2 linked regions of the Oryctolagus cuniculus genome follow. The protein of the gene in region 2 purifies or fractionates together with the protein of the main gene of each other region. This does not show direct contact. Links are inferred from orthologs where the notes say so. Each region holds a gene or a part of one and is shown on either strand. Other genes may lie near its edges.

Region 1 (3,500 bases), on a different chromosome or scaffold from region 2:
AAAAGTAATCACAGAATCACAGAGAGCTTTAATGCATGGTAATGGCCTATCTGCAGGCAAACATGGGGAAACTAACCTTGTTGTGACATGAAGGATGGGTCAGTGAAGAGTAAGAAGGTACTTTGCACACAGAGTAGGTAGGTTTTTTTTTTTAGTTTTTTGTCAAGCTTTTGTATTGTTTACATGTGTGTTTGTGTGTGTGAATGAATGTGCGCAATGGGGCACCATGTAAACAGAGTAGTTAATTAATATTGAATGGATCAAGACAGTAAGACTAAATTAAAATTTACTGTGTGTCTCTAACATGACATCAAATCCATTGAATCCCATCCCATTCCATATTGCTCCATTTGCCACTTAGAGAACAAGCCCTATCCATTTCAGAAGGAAATAACACTGCTGGTGTTCTCTAAAAAATCTATTCACCACTCAAAGGTGGCCCTCTAAATGGTCTACTCTTGCAGAAATTAACATTTTCCTCTTCTATTCAGAGAGAGGTACATTTGAGATGCTGCAACTGTTGAAAAAGAAAACAAAATTTACCAAGTTCAAAATTTAGGCAATAAGTAACCCCCACACACACACACTTCTGCAAAGATTGGAAAAAAGGAAACCATAAGTTGTGACCTCATATTTCTTATACTGTCTTATAATGCCAAAGTTAAATACATTCTAAGATAAAACCTTTTTGATGATGCCAAAGTTTTTCTTCTGCACAGGTCAAGGTGCCATCTGCACAGCATCAACTACTCAGTGAGAAGCTAAGGCTGAAAAATGCGGAGGAAGTCATAACCTACCTGATTTTCTTCATGGGAAACCCTCATCTGCTCCTTGAGGACAGACATCCGAGCTGCCTCTTCTTTCCTCAAGACTCTCTCTTTCTTAAGCTCAGGACTCCAGAATGTCTTGATGCTGTTCATGGAAGATCCCAACTTGCTGTCCTTGATGTCCAGCTCTTTCCGGAGGAGGTCATTCTCTCTCTGAAGTTCCTTTAGCTGGGCTTGAAGATCCAACATTGTGCTATCTCTTACCTGCCTCAACATGGAGGGGACCTGGTGGTGGTGATGATGGGTTGAGCTGGTCAGACCACCATGTTGATCCATATATGAAAGGACATCTGTGTGGGAAAGTCCAGCGGAAGCAATATTGGGACTGCTCCCCATGGCTGTGACTCGGCCTCCATATACAGCTCGATTTGTGGCCCTGCCCAGAGTCATGGTGCCCTTTGGGTAAGTTGTTGAAGCCACTCCCTCATGATCACTCAGATACATGGGTCCAGACGTAGCATAGGCTGCATTAAGAGACTGAATGTTTTCCATAGACAGAGTCTTGCCCGTTCCTCCACCTCCCCCACTACTTGTTCTCCTATGGCCCAAACGAGGTGACCTTGGCAAACGAGGAGACCTGGAAGGACTACCTTCCAGGTTGGTGATTGTTCTTGCACTTCCATACATTTTTCTTGTATTATGAGTTACTATTCAAGAGACGAAATGCTATACTAAGTTGGGGCTTATGTCAATATTTCCACTGTTGACCAGAATTTTCAATGCATTCTTGTCGTAGTCTGTACCAGAAAATGACTCCAATCAAAGATCTGCAAAATGAAAACAGTGATAAGTAAAAACAAACTTATTTAGAAATCTGACTACAACTACATGACATTTTACAATATATAGACAGGTAAATGGTTATATTGAGAGATAAATGATCATTCCACCTATGAAGTTCACGTAAAAGGAAAAGTAACCCCAAAACTTTACTAATTACAGGTACATTTTTACAAATTCTCCCACCCTACTCCTAAGCAAGTTTTGAGCAAAAAACAGGCTTTTTTTTCTCTCAGGAAAATAAAGCTATCCATTTTGATTTGTGGTATGTTACAGTTTGGATCACTAGAAAGTTCACCAAAGATTCCCCACCATGGAAATATTAGCAATAAAATAATCCATCATCAAGTACATGAATCCATACATATGAAGCCTGACAGTCACTCGAAGAAATTGCTGCTTCCTAGGATACAGAATTTAAGTATTTGGAAAGCATCTGTTACCTTCCTCTCCAGTACCCTTTACAGACATCACGAATTAATCACAGTCCTTTTTCCCACTAGGTTCAGAACTCTCCCCTCATAACACTCTAAATGGTTGACCCTCAATCAACTGGAACTGACACATGTTAGCCATCTTGGAACTAGACAAAGCAGCAGCTCAATGAATGAGACACTGACACATCTAGCCAGATCCCCATTATTGTCACCAGAGAAAACATTTAGTCCTGTCTTGTTCTACTTCCACACACATTTTCTAAGTCTTTTTAAGAATTTTTTCCCATTTCAGTTAACCTTAATATTCATGTTAACTTGGGGCCAGCATTATGGCTTAAGCCACCACTTGTGACAATGGCATCCCATGTCAGTGGCTGGTTCAAGTCATGGCTACAATCTAGCTCCCTGCTAATGTGACTGGGAAGGCAAAAGAAGATTGCTCAAGTGCATGGGCCTCTGCCATTCAGGCTGGAGACCTAGATGGAGTTCCTGGCCCCTGGCTTTAGCCTGGTGCAGCCCTGATCATTGCAGTCATTTGGAGAGTAAACCAGCAGTTAGATGGTAGGTATCTCTTTCTCACTCATCATCCCTCCCTCCTTTCAAATTTGCCTTTCAAATAAATAAATAAATTTTAAGAGCTATTCATATTATCCATTTCACAATTATACAGAAATCAAACAAAGGAAAAATATACCAGGTTACAGCTCCTTGTCCCATAATCCCTACAGAAAAGCAATAGAATGTCCCTGTGATGATCACTCAAGTGTATTAGTGGAAATTTTATGTATCTGGGGCTACAGGGTTGTGATTATTCCTTCAATATTAGAATCTGAATGGCCTGGGGTGTGGCATATAGCTTGTGTTCTTTCTGTTATAGGGTCTTTAGTATACTTTTTTCTTTAGCTTTATAATCAAAAGAGAACAGACTCTTTAAAAAGGACAAACTGGAGTTGAAATCTCCACTCTAACACTAACCAGCTGAGTGACTCTAGGCAATTCTTTAACTGTAGGAAATTCCACTTTCCAAGTGTGAGAATGCAAAGCAATATCACTCAACTCATAGCATTGTAAAAAAAAAAAAAAAATACATGGGGCTGTCTCTGTGGCCTAGCAGGTAAAGCCACTGCCTACAGTGCTGGCATCCCATATGGGCGCCAGTTCGAATCCAGGCTGCTCCACTTTTCATCCAGCTCTCTGCTATGACCTGGGAAAGCAGCAGAAGATGGCTCAAGTCCTTGGGCTCCTGCACCCACATGGGAGACCCAGAAGAAACTCCTGGCTCCTAGCTTCACATGGGCCCAGCACCAACTGTTGCCAATCAGGGAGTGAACCAGTGGATGGAAGATCTCTCTCTCTCTGCCTCTCCTCTCTCTGTGTAACTCTGACTTTCAAATAAATAAATAAAACTTTTAAAAAATTACATAAGATGATGTTGATAAAATACATACTTTGGTAC
Region 2 (4,070 bases):
TTGCTATCCTCAGTTTTTAAGACAAGAGTCCCCTCAATAAAAGTATACTACTGTTCCATTACTTGTAGATAATATGACACACTTGTATGGCAACAAACTGAGACTCACCAATCCATTGCACAAAAGACATCAGTAAAAGAGGATAACTGATACAAGTTAATGCAGAGGTCCAAGACTGTAGAAGTCTATTGTATAACAGCAAGACATATTGTGATATTTTGTGAAACCATGCAATGAAGGAAAAATATTTGCAAGTAAGTGGAAAGCACTCATAGGAAAAGCAGTGGGCAAAAAAAAAAAAAAGTGTTACAGGTGAGCAGTTGGACAATGCTTTATTTTTCATTTGCCCATAAAAGCCCATACAATCATATAATCACTGTCCTTAACCAGTTAGCAGGTTTAGGATTCTGTCCTAAAACTCACCCACTCCCACTTAAAATTCATCACTCTCCACCATGCCTGAAACAGCCAATGAAGAGGCGTGATGGCCACAACTTGCAATGTGCCTTCCCCTTTCTAACCAGACTGTCAAGCAGCCACCCATATTTTCCACTAGGTGCTGGAAGCCTCCATCCACTTGCTGTCTGCAGTGAACACCAAAAGGAACAGCAACACACCTGGAAATACTGAAGAGCAGAAAAGGTGTCCAGGACAGGTGGCAGGGGCTGCAACCAGTAAGGACAGACAAACTGACAACTAGACACACAGACAGCAGCACCATCAGACACCATCCATTACTTCCAGTCTCAGAAGAGGGAAAGCCTGCAGCACCGGGGATGCCATTCTTCCACTAGGGACAGGCAGCAGATTACCGAGGGCTGTGCCTCTCTGAAGCCTGCAGGTTTAAAGTATTTGTTTTTCGGATGAGAAGGAGCAGGGAACGCAGAAGCCTGCTGCTCTTTATAGAATCAGGCCAGCTCTGGCCTGCCTGGTTAACAGCCCTTTTCTCCATCCATAGTTACAGGGCAGGAATGACTGGGCTTCTACTATTTTGCTGTGACCCAGCAACCACATCTCTCCCTCAGTGTCGCCTCCCTGCTCTGGGTGACAGTTGCACTGGTTGGAGACTCATCAGTTTGTGAATGCAGCCTCCCTTCTTCCCTCTCCTGTGAGGCACTGCTGCACTGAGGGGAAACGGAAGAAACCTTCCAGGCAGCATCTTCCCTCCAGGAGGCAATTCTAGGGGTGGGAGAGAGGCCATGCTGGGTGTGCTCTGTACTGACTGTCACTCCTGCTCCCTTTCTACTCTTTTTTTTTTTTTTTTTTTTTTTTTTGCTATCAGCTAACTCCAGATGCAACAGGTTCCTCTCAGCTCCTCATGCCAATCCCCTGCCCCCAGATACACCTGCTAGCTTACACAAGGGGCCTGAAGAATTACTCCCAGTCAGGGTCTCCAAATCCTCCCACTCCATAGTGGGAAACTTTCCCCAATACATGAAGACTTCCCCCAGGAAAGACAGGATGAAGTCCCCTTCAGCTCCACTCTGTGGGTGATGCTAAGGATGAGAAAGCCCGGTCTCTCTGCCAGTTCCTTGTAAGCAGTGTTGTCTGAGCAAGCAGCAGCATAGTTGTCACACACCCCTGCACCACCAGCAGCCAACCCTATCCCCTCGCCGTCCCCAGGAAAATAGGGCACCAGACAGAGATGCTTTGAGGGCTCTATGGGCTCTAAAGAAGGCAGGATGTGTGCAAACACTCAACATCTTACTGGACTGCTTCCTCCAGGAATGGAGCAGGCCCCAGAGGTCTCTTGGTGCCCACCAAAGAGAGACCTCTATTTTATTCAGGCCAGATTCCTCAGCAGCTTCTCTCATTATCAGAAACTTTGCATTGCCCGTGGCATTACATCTGGGTAAGAAAATGTATCTTCACACAGGTATTCTCTGCTCTAGACTGTGAAGAACAGGGTGAAGAGAAGCTGGGGAGGCAGGTTACCAAAGATGGCAACTGCCCAGAAAAGACCCAACCTTGGTCTGTGAAATGAATGAGTAGCAAAATGAATACTAAAAATCAGCATTTTCATTCTGTAAATGCGGGCACCCTTCACCGGGCTAACCCCGACCTGCCAAACAACTCCAAAAGAGCAGAGGAGCTGTCCTCAGCACCTCTTCATCCCACCCCTCCTTTCCACTGCTTATCCGCTGCCCCCTCACCTGCTCCCAGCCCAGGGCCCTTCCACTTTGGCGGCTTCAGGTTCTCTGAGCTCCCTCACATCCCACCACCGGGGTGGCCCCTGTCCACTCCCAATCCTCCCGGGCACCCCAGCCTCAAGCCATCTACACCCGGCTCCTTGGTTCCGGCTTGGTGGCATCCCCTGCTTCCCCTGGCCCCACTGGCCTCACCCCTACTCAAACCCAGCACCCCTGGCCCCGGGGCGGGCGCCTCCGCCCGAACCCAGCACCCGCGCCCGCCCCTCCCCCACCCGGCCGGGAGGACTGGGCGAGTGAGTGGTGAATGGACGGAGGGAGGCACCGAGGCACGGGTGGCTTACTTGAGCATGGCTTCTTCCTTCTCCTCCTCTTCCTTCTGCCGGTCCATCACTGCCATGATAATGTTCCTCTCCTCTTCGGTCAGGTGGCTCAGGTCGGGCAGCTCTTGCATGGGGGGAGGCACCGTAGGTGGGCGAGGACCGCGGGGCCCCACGGCCGAGGACATCTTCGTGGCCTGCCCGCCCCCTCCGCTTGCGGCTCGCTCTCACCTTTCGGAAGCACGCCCAGCTGCTGCGCCCCTGCTTCCCCTCACAGCCGAGCCCTCCCGGCGGCGGCGGCGGCGGCGGCGGCGGCAGGGGGAGGAGGAGCGGCAGCGGCGGCGGCGGCGGCGGCGGCGGCGGCGGCAGCAGCGGCGGAGCTGGGGAGAGCGCGAGCCCAGGCTTTCATGGTTGTTTGCATCCACCCAGCCCCGGATGCTGCCTTTGTTTTGGTCGCCCTAGCGAGGCTCGGGGCCGCCGGCCGCCTCCCGCAGCCGGGTCTCGGCGGCGGGGGCGGGCGGGCGGAGGCGCGGCGGGCGCGGCGAGGGGGCGAGGGCTTGCGCCGGGCTCCGCCGATCCGGGCGTCTCCGCGGGGCGCGCGAGGCGGGGGCGGGGCCGGGGCCGGGGCTGGGGCTGGGGCCGGGGCCGGGGCTAGCGTTAGCTGGGGCTGGGGCCGGGGCCGGGGCTGGGGCTGGGGCTGGGGCTGGGGCGGCCGCCGCCGCCGCCGAGGCTGCTCGCAGACTCAGCTGCCTCCAGTTTGGGGCTGCGGGAGGGAGAGGGAGAGTTTGGGTGTCAGTTAGGCGGAGTCTCCGAGGCTTCGCTCCCGGGTGATGCTGCTGCTCTCGCAGACAGAGCTGCCAGCCACCCAGTCCGGGATACGCTCCGCCTCTCCGCGCCCACCCGCCCACTCCCAGGTCCGAGGCACGCGTGCCCCGGCCGCTCCCCCACGCTCGCCAACGTGCACGCCACATCGCTCTATCCCCAGGTACCCCTCACCCGTGAGTCATCCTCCCTCTCGTGGTCCCTGGTCTATGTCATCCTCCCCAGCCCTGTTTTTCCATGAGTTGCATTAATCATCATCATCATCCTCTCTACCGTCTTCATCATAGAGCATTAATATTGTTTGGGCACCCACAATGTTCTGAACAGCAGGATGGAACACCCTGTGGACACATTTTTTTTTCCTTCCTGTTATCGCGTTTACTAGTCAAGTGTTCAGGGCTACAACAATGTGATTTTCTAGATCATTTTTACACACACACACACACCCCTCCAACAGCCTGGATTTTGTGGGTACACTGTACTCTTCAATGCAGTGTCTTTCTTGACCCGTTCTCGCTAGGACTGTTCAGCAACGTATCCTAATTTCGTCTCAAGATGCCCCACAACACAGTACCTCTAAACTGTCATTTAGGGCTCTGGGTAGCCCCAATGCACCACATAAATGCACTTCTTTGGTGCTTGCAAATGGATTATCTACTCTAATTGCTCTAATGATATTCACTGTCATCATGTACTCATGCCTTAGCCTCTATAGCGACTTCTCCAGAAACACTGATCCCAGGTAAGAAAAACATCCGATCATATCCTATTGCATTTAAGA

Evidence for each region.
Region 1: the proteins of RIMS1 (region 2) and ERC2 purify together in Homo sapiens (affinity purification with western blotting; 3 studies listed by BioGRID and IntAct, with this or other methods). This does not show direct contact. The link is inferred for Oryctolagus cuniculus from reciprocal best matches to the Homo sapiens genes RIMS1 and ERC2.

Annotation. Positions count from the first base shown.
Region 1 is NC_091441.1:93,425,821-93,429,320, reverse strand, and holds part of ERC2 (ERC protein 2), read right to left. Parts: intron 1,595-3,500; 5' UTR 1,455-1,594; coding exon 798-1,454; intron 1-797. UniProt on the Homo sapiens protein: Thought to be involved in the organization of the cytomatrix at the nerve terminals active zone (CAZ) which regulates neurotransmitter release. Seems to act together with BSN. May recruit liprin-alpha proteins to the CAZ.
Region 2 is NC_091436.1:100,750,118-100,754,187, forward strand, and holds the start of RIMS1 (regulating synaptic membrane exocytosis protein 1), read right to left. Parts: upstream 2,801-4,070; 5' UTR 2,656-2,800; coding exon 2,492-2,655; intron 1-2,491. UniProt on the Homo sapiens protein: Rab effector involved in exocytosis. May act as scaffold protein that regulates neurotransmitter release at the active zone.